Xenopus tropicalis: one gene and its partners. The protein of the gene in region 1 purifies or fractionates together with the protein of each later gene. This does not show direct contact. Links are inferred from orthologs where the notes say so. Each region holds a gene or a part of one and is shown in the gene's direction. Other genes may lie near its edges. The genes, in order: exoc8, exoc6 and ralb.

What was found.
Region 2: the proteins of exoc8 (region 1) and exoc6 purify together in Homo sapiens (affinity purification with mass spectrometry; 4 studies listed by BioGRID and IntAct, counting the BioPlex papers as one, with this or other methods). This does not show direct contact. The link is inferred for Xenopus tropicalis from reciprocal best matches to the Homo sapiens genes EXOC8 and EXOC6.
Region 3: the proteins of exoc8 (region 1) and ralb purify together in Homo sapiens (affinity purification with western blotting; 6 studies listed by BioGRID and IntAct, counting the BioPlex papers as one, with this or other methods). This does not show direct contact. The link is inferred for Xenopus tropicalis from reciprocal best matches to the Homo sapiens genes EXOC8 and RALB.

The regions. Positions count from the first base shown.
Region 1 is NC_030681.2:58,002,888-58,006,642, forward strand, and holds the start of exoc8 (exocyst complex component 8), read left to right. Parts: upstream 1-1,104; 5' UTR 1,105-1,152; intron 1,153-1,633; 5' UTR 1,634-1,825; coding exon 1,826-2,274; intron 2,275-3,755. UniProt on the Homo sapiens protein: Component of the exocyst complex involved in the docking of exocytic vesicles with fusion sites on the plasma membrane.
Region 2 is NC_030683.2:25,435,963-25,439,617, reverse strand, and holds part of exoc6 (exocyst complex component 6), read left to right. Parts: intron 1-933; coding exon 934-1,017; intron 1,018-1,113; coding exon 1,114-1,160; intron 1,161-1,955; coding exon 1,956-2,076; intron 2,077-3,452; coding exon 3,453-3,524; intron 3,525-3,655. UniProt on the Homo sapiens protein: Component of the exocyst complex involved in the docking of exocytic vesicles with fusion sites on the plasma membrane.
Region 3 is NC_030685.2:89,161,520-89,165,274, reverse strand, and holds the start of ralb (v-ral simian leukemia viral oncogene homolog B), read left to right. Parts: upstream 1-1,351; 5' UTR 1,352-1,417; intron 1,418-3,755. UniProt on the Homo sapiens protein: Multifunctional GTPase involved in a variety of cellular processes including gene expression, cell migration, cell proliferation, oncogenic transformation and membrane trafficking.

The DNA.
Region 1 (3,755 bases):
AGCAAAACTGTAATAACACATAAAAAGACCCCAAAACCCCAAGAAATGTGTCCAAACTTTGAATAACCTGCCAAATTTTGTAAAATGAGAGTGGTATTAAGGGGGTGTGGTTGGAAAAATGGGTGTCGTCAAAAAATTTTTGCTGTGCTATGTGCTGCATTTGCCTACATGTGCCTGAACCTGAGCATATCTCATTTATTCGGGTGCAGGCACAGGTAGGACGCATTTACAGTAGCGGGCATATTTTCAGCTTGCCAAGAATACGCCATGTCTGACATCAGCCTAAAAACGAAATATGCTGAAGAAACAGTATAAAAAGCTGTGTAAAATAAATGGAGAAGTTTGCTGTCTGAACATTAGATTTTACGTTAGTTTTTTACACGGCGAAGCCTGGTGATGTGTGCTGAATTTGGTTGTCATATTTTTTTACACAGTAAGAGTTTCCCCCTTTTTGGAAAAAAAATATCAGCCTTACTACATTTTTATTGTTCTTCGTTAGTAATGTTTTCATCAATGTTTCATCATTTTAATGCACAAGGCCACCGACATACCAGCCAGATGGCAACCCTGAGCCATAACTCCCAACTGTCCCGATTTTAACCGCTCAAGCAGCAGTCCCAGATTCTTACTGAAAAGTCTCTAAAAAATTTGCTAAAAAATATACAAAGTTTCTCTAAATTAAACTAAATAAGTAGGCTTTTGGCAGAGAGCCAACAAAAGTTAAGCTACACCTGCACTGAGATACAATTGTAATTAATAAGCTAAACTGGGGCAACTGAGACTTGCAGCTTAAAGAATAAGTAAACCTTTTTTTTCGATTAATAAAATTACTCTAAACAGCTTCCCAGAATTCCCTACCTTTTTCCCTTTGTTCTTTCTGACCTGGTTCCTCTCTTTCCTTGTTCAGAGTGAAGCTCCGCCCCCACTCTTGTTCAGGTCTCTTATCAAGAAAAAAAAAACCCTGCTAATGCACAGACTGGCTCCTGCTGCCTCCAGACATGTGCAGAAGGCTCTCCAATTTGACTACAGGTAGTTGATGTAATGAGAGACCCAAACAGGAAGTGGGGGCGGAGCTTCACTCTGAACAAGGAAGGAGTGGAATGGATCATCTTGTAACTGAGGAACCAGGTCAGAAAGAAAAGAGGGACAAAGGTAGGCAATTCTGGGAAGCTGTTTAGAGTAATTTTATTAATAGAAAAAAAAGTTTACTTATTCTTTAAAAGGCAATTTCACCTTTTTTAGCAAAACTGTAATAACACATAAAACGAAACCCCAAGAAATGTGTTCAAATGCTGCGCTATGTGCAGCATTTCTATATGTCCCTCTATATTTTTCTAAAAGTTGGGGGGTATGTGCTATCCGCAGTGATGAAATGGATATAGCAGCTGGAGGTGGGGAGGTGGGGTTTAAAACCTGGTAACAACTGGACAAACTGGGGGAATTGAGTTGACATCAATGCTGGTGGCAAACCTAGTACAATACACTTGTTAACTGCTTTTTTTGCAAAGCTTTTAAGTTTTCCGTTAAAAGAAATAGTCACCCATTTTAAGTTTGTATACGTAAAGACAAATGAGACAAGATGATGTAAAATAAATCTTTATCACTACTAAGATTTTGCGCTTCAAATTCACAGCGGGCTTCCGTACAATAAGGAGAGAGGCGCAAGCGCAGTCTGAACGAAGAAAGACTGTGTTTTGTTGCTCCGCCTATCCTATACGCCCGGAAGCGTACATGCAATTTGTAGCCTTCATTATCTTGCTGACAGATTGAAACATTGTTTTGTGCGTTGTTTCTGTTGAACCGGTGCTTTATTTGGGTTATAAAAATGGCAGAAGGTGGTGGTTCGGTGCAACGATTGAGGCGGCAGCTGGAGTCTAGCAGCTTTCAAGCAGAACAGTATGTGAAACTGCTGTCACAGCAATCAGACGGGGATAGAGACCTGCAAGAGCACCGACAGCGCATTCAGAGCCTGGCAGATGAGACCGCTCAGAGTCTTAAACGTAATGTGTATCAGAACTACCGTCAGTTCATTGAAACTGCCAAAGAGATAAGTTATTTGGAAGGGGAGATGTACCAACTCAGCCACATTCTAACTGAGCAAAAAAGTATTATGGAGAGCGTCACCCAGGCCTTGCTTTATACAGACCGCTCTGAAGCCGCCCGGGAACTCCAGGCAGCGTTTCCTAAGGAAGCAGAAGAGGGAAAGGTCAGGAACCTTACAACTCTGCTGGAAAAGGTGGAGGGATGCAAAAACCTGCTGGAAACACCCGGGAGGTAAATATAAAGAGATTTACAATGTGTTATTGTAACTGTGGCGTCGCACTGTATAGCAGTAGTTGCTACAAGGGATGCCGCATGTAATTTGTATTAATGCAATGAAATGATGTGCTTGTTATACGAATATATTTTAATTTGACGTTTCAATGGAGTTTTTTTTATCTGAAGGCATAATAATGGCACATACTACGTGCTATTATTCAGGTTGTGGGGCACTAGTGTGACTTGTAATACTCTTATTATCATTGATTTAGCTTTGATTGTTAATCATTTGTATCTTGGTTGGTGGTTGAATAAATCACGTAAGCTCTTATCACTAACCATTTGTAACTGTTAATTGATTTTGTTGAAAAGTTTTGTCTGTATATGTAAGGGCTCTGGCACACGGGGAGATTAGTCGCCCGCAACAAATCTCATTTGTCACGGGCGACTAATCTCCCCGAGTTGCCATGACCCGCCATCTCACCGGCGAACATGTAAGTCGCCGGCGGGATGGCACACGCGGCGGCGCGATTTCCCGAAAACGTCTCGCGAGTCTTTTTCGGCGATTTCGGGAAATCGCGCCACCGCGTGTGCCATCCCGCCGGCGACTTACATGTTCGCCGGTGGGATGGCGGGTCATGGCAACTCGGGGAGATTAGTCGCCCGCGAACATGGAGTTTTGTCGCGGGCGACTAATTTCCCTGTGTGCCAGAGCCCTAAGCCATTTGGTCTTGTATTTGTATCTCTTAGAGATTATTATCACATATTTATAAATTGCCAACATATTCAGCAGAACTGTGCACTAAATGGGTAAATACATTGAATATACAGTTTTACATACAAAGCAGCCAATAACTTACACAAGATGCTGCAAAGAGCTTACTATATATGTGTATATAGTTACATAGAGTTGAAAAAAGACCATCAATGAAAAACATAGTAAGGTAACATAGTAAGTTGGGTTGAAAAAAAAAGACATACGTCCATCACGTTCAACCATAATGCCTATATATAACCTGCCTAACTTCTAGAGGAAGGCAAAAAACCCCATCTGAACCCAACCCAACATACTGTTCTTCAACTTTGGCTTCTTCTTCCGCTTCTTCTTCTTCTTTTTCTTAGCGCCCCCCATTTTCTAAACGCTACTCCTCCTACAGTTTTAGGGGTACAGCACCCAAACTCCCCACACTTCTTCGCCCTATAGCGGAGCAGGTTGCTTGTGCTTTTCTAAGCGATCCGGCCCTCCGTCTTTTTGCGGCGCTGCTCCGAACACCCCAATTTTCCCATTGACTTTGACAGGGAAGATTTTCAAACTGCTGCCACACTTACAGCTTTGAAGCTACACCCCCCAAACTTGAATAACATAATCATGGGGTCACCCCGAATGAAGCAGCAACATTTGTTGGATAACCCCAAAGTGGGAGGGGCCAACAACAGCCAATCAAATTTTAATCATTGACTTTAATGGAGAAATTGAAACTGCTGCCAATCTTACA
Region 2 (3,655 bases), on another chromosome or scaffold:
AATGGGCCAGGGCAGACAGAGATCAGACAGGATCAGCTAGAGACTAAAGTCTTTAACAGAGATCAAATAGAATATACAATGGGCAGCAGGAAGATATACCATCAAACTGGTACCAACCATTAGTGTCCATGGCACTTTAAAGGTTTTTTTCCATGCCTCCTGAAATCCAGAGCCCATCCCCCCATTAGTGCCAAACTGGCAGACACACCACTAAGATAAAAGACCATCATTCATAGTGGTGTTTTCCAGTTCTGGTCACACACAAATAGATCATAGGAATGGCACACCAGTTATAGCAGACATGTGCTCCTGAACTAGCTCCAGGGTCAAATACAGCAACTTACAACACCTAAGCAGCACTCCATTAAAATAGTCTTTATCCATGCTTAATGGCAATGTACTGAAAAAGAGCAATACTATGGGCTCTTTGCACCCTTTCTCAAGCATGTTTGTCCAATGCGTTCCTCCACACATCCACAGAGGAATAAAGGGCACATTAGATTGTGTAACAAAAGCAACAACAAAGTACAACTACAACCTGTGCAGGATTTAAATAGTTACATGACTAGTCTAAAAACATCATTGGCAATATTATATGTCTTAATTAGAGTAGACTCCTTCTAAATACATTTATATGAATGTGATTCTACCCTATTTCATGTAAGCTATAATGTTTGTCCCTTTCTCTTGACATTACCATAGCAGGAGTCAGATTTTAGCAATAGACTGCCTTCAGAATTCATTTTCAGCGGGAGTTCTGATCAGTTTAAGTAAGAATTGTGGTTTAATCAAATTATAACTAGTATCAAATTATCATTTTCTTGGCTCCTTATCAGCCTGAGAGCGATAAGCTGCAGCCTCAGATCATATTTAGGCGAATTGCTCTTTAGCATCTGGGGAACATTAACGTCTCTCTCTGTGGTTACGTTTTAGGGTGATAAAGAAGTATTTGAAAACTACTACAGAAAGCAGAGAAGAAAACAAGCGAGATTAGTCCTGCAGCCCCAGTCCACCATGGTAAACTGATTTTCTTTCAGAGAATATTGTTCTTGACTGTCCACAACTTGATATGTATTAATATATGTGTGTCTTTTTTGTGCTCTGTTTTAAAAGCATGAAACTGTTGAAGGTTACAGAAAATATTTCAGTCAGATTGCAGGGTGAGTATTTTAATGCATTGTGAATTTTCACCATGTTTTATATTGATATTCTTTTCAAGATTGAAGGCATATAGAGAGTTTCAGTTGGTGCCGTCTTGTGAAGAAGATCTGCCGTATTCACTTCCACAATATCAAGTGCAATATCTATGCAATATCTATTGATTGTTTGCTGTGGGCCTAAATCCTAGCTATATTGCCAGCTACTACTCCGGATCTTTGGGGCTCTCATTTATGGGAATCTTAGATGGGTCTTCTAGATGATGCTAGTCAGTGTTTGCAGGTCTAGAACAGGGTGGTGGTTTATTTAAAATACGTTATGGAATCCAACAGTAGGTCCCAACCCTTTAGTCTCAACCAGCCCCTAGCAAGGTCAGACACTTGGTTACATATTACAAAATGCTGGGAGTTGTACTTTGGGGACAGGTTGGGTACCATTGAGTTAGCATCAAGTGGTGAAATTTCTCATGGGTTTTGATCATCATATGGAAATCATTCTATAGAAATGAAATGCCCCAGCTGAGTAAGTGAACCACACAACATTCTTTCCCTTGTGGGTTCCCTGTTGTTGGTGCCCATCTCTGCTCTGCCCAAAGACTGCCCCTGTCAGGGCTTATTAAATGAAATGGCAACGTTTCTTAATGCCTTCCACAATAAAAGATCAGCCTTGCTTTACCCATAAAATTTCACCCAAATGTACAGATACGCCAACCATGAATATTCTTAGAATGATGTTATTGAATGTGAAATCTACTGACACATTAATTTGAATAAACAGTTTTTTCCCCTTTATTTCAGATTTTTTGTTGTGGAAGATCATATTTTACATGTAACACAAGGGCTCGTCACTGGCTCTTACACCACCGAACTATGGAATATGGCGCAGTCGAAGATCATAGCTGTCCTTCGAACGCACTCGGTAAGAAAGGCAGAATTCTGACCTGGTGGGGTTATGTAATGACTGAAAGGTACATACATGCAACTCCCAGCATCCTTCAGCAGTCAGGGCTTGTGTTCTAGTGCTACCAGGGCTTTTGTGTTCCCGGGAGGTTCAAGCTGTGAGCCACAGCTGAGGGCTATCTGCATAATCCTTCTCTGATTTACAAGTTACTGGGTCCTTACAGCATAGTGTAGTACTTTAGAATATGCATAGTTAATCTGCTGTTATTAAGGCTATCTGTCCTCATTAGCCTCAACTGGCCTTCATTAGATCAAACTGAATAGGTCAGCACTCAGACTGCCACCAGGAAATGGTTTCAGATGATTGCGCCAGATACCCTGTTCCCAAAATAAACTTTTTCTGGTTTATTCACTGAAATGGGAAGTTCCCCTTAAACGTAACTTCTGGGATGATGCAGGCAGTGATAATCGAAGAGAGATAAGACCTTTCAGGACCAGTTTATTATGGGTGAATTATTTGCTGTACAGAAATATATAAATACAAATCTGTTACAATACACTGAAAACTTACTGTGCCTTCTTTACAAAGGCCCTGAATCCAAATGCTAGAATGTTGAGGGGTGCAAAATCGAGTCTTTAAGGGCCTTATTTACAAAGTGCAGGGTAAAGTACAAAAAGTGGACTCATGTTTGTGCTTCAGAATGGAGAATGAATAGCCATACTTCCTCCATGAATACAGAGCTGCCAGTGTTTGTTAGGTGCAGAGTGCTAAGGATCCCTTATGCCCTATGTGCTCCATTCTGGACATACTGGGTTAAAATCCCACTTTACTTGCACTGCCCCCTCACTGCATGGATAGGTGAGACCTAAGAGGCCTATTGATGAAATACAGACTTATATAACTTTCATGTATACACGCAGACTCATACACAGTGACCCTGCAAAGATGCCATAGTGCGGTAGCAAACTGTAACTAATACTTTATCTTGGTCTAATGCAGTTAAAATAATGAAAGCAACATGACAATTATGTGGGTAAATGAAAGCAACTAACTGAGTATTCTCTTGAGCAGCTCACAGCTTATATGTATGCATACAGAGCCACTTTTCAGCAGAAGCTGGAGAGCTATGGGTCACATCATAAATAATAGATCCCCCCACAGGGGGTATTTTTGTCACTCCAAGTAAAACTGTGCACTTATACACAGCATGCAGTGAGAATCTCTTGGTCATAGAAAAAAGTTATCATTAAAACCTCTGTGATATTATCTGCAGACCTGGGTATCAGATCAGAGCCCAATATCTCAGCACATCTTTCCTCACCAGTCGATTTAGCACAAGGTGCAGCTTTTAAGCACAGTTTGTAATACACTTAACAAATCTCATTTCTTTGTAGTCGTATTGCACTGACCCCGATCTTGTCCTGGAGCTTAAGAACCTGATTGTTGTGTTTGCTGATACTATGCAGGTAAGTGTTATCTGGGATCTTCCAGTTCAGTCTAATTAGATTCGCCAGGCCTTGGATGCCAGATGAAAGAAGAAACATTTCATTGTGCTCAGTTCTGTCAGATATAAAATAAGTTTATTTTCTACTGTAGG
Region 3 (3,755 bases), on another chromosome or scaffold:
GGAATTTTTTTTCTCCACCCCCTTGTACAACACAAACGCCTGTTGATTAAGTAAGAGATCCCCATCAGCAGAGATGTAGGAAATAAAAGAAATGACCAGCCCATAGACAAAACCTCTGTATAATGAGCAGCAGCTTAGGGAAGGGGGGCTTTGTTTATACAGAGCTTATTATCTGCATTCAGAAAAATTAGGCAGTTTTTGTATGCATGTGTTTTTAAGTATAATTCCTCTCATAATGTTTCAAGAATGAATCATTATCACCCACATGAGCTCGGATCGGTTGCAATCGCTGATACCCATAACCCCCCGCTTATATCCCATGTCCAGGGTTGCCAGATTTATTTTTCCAAACTAGCCAAAGTCAGTTCTAAAACCAGCCCAAAACTAGCCAAAAGCCACTTTGTAAGTAGCCCAAAAATAGCCCAATATACGCAATGAAAAAAATTCTAAAAAAATACAAGTATATATGGGGAAACCTGCCTTATTAAAGCGTATAATCACTGCCCAGTTACTGGGATGGCTGGTAATTCCCTCTGTGCCCAGTCCAGCTGGGAAGTCACTACAGAAATGGATTCAGAATGTTCCATTAACCCCAGATATGATATATATATATATGGGTACATTGAACTACAACTCCCAGCAGCCCCTGAGATACCCTGAGAGTTATAGCTTAATGACAAACTGCAGAACTACCCCCACATCCCAGTAGAAAGTAACAGTACAATCACATACCCTATAGAGCAGGGAGCAGGGGGTAGAACTGCCCCACATCCCAGTAGAAAGTAACAGTACAATCACATTCCCTATAGAGCAGGGGGTAGAACTGCCCCACATCCCAGTAGAAAGTAACAGTACAATCACATTCCCTATAGAGCAGGGAGCAGGTTGCAGAACAGACAGGTTGAGCCTATGTCCAATTGCATGCTGGGTATTGTAGTTTTATATAAATCCTTGCTGTAGGCTAATTGTTAGATACAAACTACATTACCCAGCATGCAGTGGGACAGGCACACTAGGGAGGGAAAAACGTTAGCTAGTTTCAAAACTACAAACCCGCTAAGGCTCCAAAAAATAGCCCAAACCTGCACCTTTGGGGGGTTGTACTTTGGAAACCCGCCAGGGCATTAAATTAGTAGCCCAATTTGGCGGGAAAACCGCTAACCTGGCAACCCTACCCGTGTCCCACAACACCGGAAGCCACACACAAGTTGAGGGAAAGTAGAATACAGCGGTGCGCATGCGCCGGAGGAGGCGGGACGTTGGCGCCACACAAAGCCACGCCCATTAGCGTACCGCGCTTGGTAATTATGTCCCAGCCCGAGACCCGTAGCGGTTGCAGGAAGTTGGGGGAGGAGGAGCCGCGCCCGGGGAGCTGGGAGCAAGAGAGGGACCGGGAGCGGCGAAGGGAGACCAGGAGGTGAGTGGGGCGGGGGGGGGCGGCGTTTGTCTTGTGCTTCTACCGGCACCCCCTTATATCTTCACTCTCACTTCAGCCGGTCCATAGGCTTCTCCCCACAGCCGTGTAATGGAACTAGTCCCCTACTCCCAGCATCCTCTACTGACTTACCCAGCATCCTCTACTGACTTACCCAGCATCCTCTACTGACTTACCCAGCATCCCCTACTGACATGCCACCCTTTACCCAGCATCCCCTACTGACTTACCCAGCATCCCCAACTGACTTACCCAGCATCCCTGACTGACTACCCAGCATCCCCTACTGACTTGCCCAGCATCCCCTACTGACTTGCCCAGCATCCCCTACTATGACGTTACCCAGCATCCCCCTACGTGACTTACCCAGCATCCCCTACTGACTTACCCAGCATCCCCTACTGACTTACCCAGCATCCCCTACTGACTTACCCAGCATTCCCCTACTGACTTACCCAGCATCCCCTACTGACTTACCCAGCATCCCCTACTGACTTACCCAGCATCCCCTACTGACTTACCCAGCATCCCCTACTGACTTACCCAGCATCCTCTACTGACTTACCCAGCATCCCCTACTGACTTACCCAGCATCCCCTACTGACTTACCCAGCATCCCCTACTGACTTACCCAGCATCCCCTACTGACTTACCCAGCATCCCCTACTGACTTACCCAGCATCCCCTACTGACTTACCCAGCATCCCCTACTGACTTACCCAGCATCCCCTACTGACTTACCCAGCATCCCCTACTGACTTACCCAGCATCCCCTACTGACTTACCCAGCATCCCCTACTGACTTACCCAGCATCCCCTACTGACTTACCCAGCATCCCCTACTGACTTACCAGCATCCCCTACTGACTTACCCACCTCTCATTCCTACACCAGCATCCCCTACTGACTTACCCACCTCTCATTCCCTACACCCAGCATCCCCTACTGACTTACTTACCTCTCATTCCCTACACCCAGCATCCCCTACTGACTTACTTACCTCTCATTCCCTACACCCAGCATCCCCTACTGACTTACTTACCTCTCATTCCCTACTCCCAGCATCCCCTACTGACTTACTTACCTCTCATTCCCTACTCCCAGCATCCCCTACTGACTTACTTACCTCTCATTCCCTACTCCCAGCATCCCCCTAAAGCCCTGTCACTCATTCCCTACTCCCAGCTGACTGCCTGCATGGGAAAGGGGTGATGGGAGCTGTAGTTCAGGAGTAACTCCCAAGCTGGAGTATTGTTACTGTTATAATTACTCTCAGGCAAATCTTGATCTGTCTCTGAGACCCTGGGCCAGTCTCTGTCCCTCCCCTGCTGTTCTGATTGAGTGGAAGGGGTTAACTCGGCCCCATGTGACACACGTTGGGGTGCCATACTGCAATACAGAAACATCTCACAGAAGCAGTGTTTGCCCCATGGGGCACTTTTTATTGCTTTTTGTGCCCTTGGCCTTTAATTATGAGACCCAGTGACTCCCTTGTGATGCTGCTGCCGCCTTTCCTATAATAAGTCAGCACCATATTTATTGCCCCCAGTGTTGTTGTTGTGTGACTCCTCCCTGTGCTACAGCAATAGGGGTACATCAGACTGGGGATTCTCAGCACTTCAGTAGTTTCCCCATTTGTTACACTCTCAGGGGAGTATTTTAATGAACGGACTCTTTTTATCAGTGCAAATACTTGTGTATGTACAGGGTGTTAAATCAACCTTAGGGGGCTGTTCCTGCTGAATTGTGCTTAGAACAGGGGAATCCCTATGTGCCATAGTTTTATAGTATCTCTCTGTACAGGCTATGGGCAAACTTAGGGGGCTGTTCCTGCTGAATTGTGCTTAGTACAGGGGAATCCCTATGTGCCATAGTTTTATGGTATCTCTCTGTACAGGCTATGGGCAAACTTAGGGGGCTGTTCCTGCTGAATTGTGCTTAGAACAGGGGAATCCCTATGTGCCATAGTTTTATGGTATCTCTCTGTACAGGCTATGGGCAAACTTAGGGGGCTGTTCCTGCTGAATTGTGCTTAGTACAGGGGAATCCCTATGTGCCATAGTTTTATGGTATCTCTCTGTACAGGCTATGAGCAAACTTAGGGGGCTGTTCCTGCTGAATTGTACTTAGTACAGGGGAATCCCTATGCTGCCATACTAAGCTGGTATAGTTACCAGTTCCCAAGCATTCTGAATAGCAGATGTAGACACAAGAATGGACAGTGGTTGCCAGATGCAGTGGCCTTAGCAACCAGTGTACAGAGCACAATGAAGGCCATGTGGAAGTGAGTGACATTACTGTGCCGGCAGTAAGACAATGG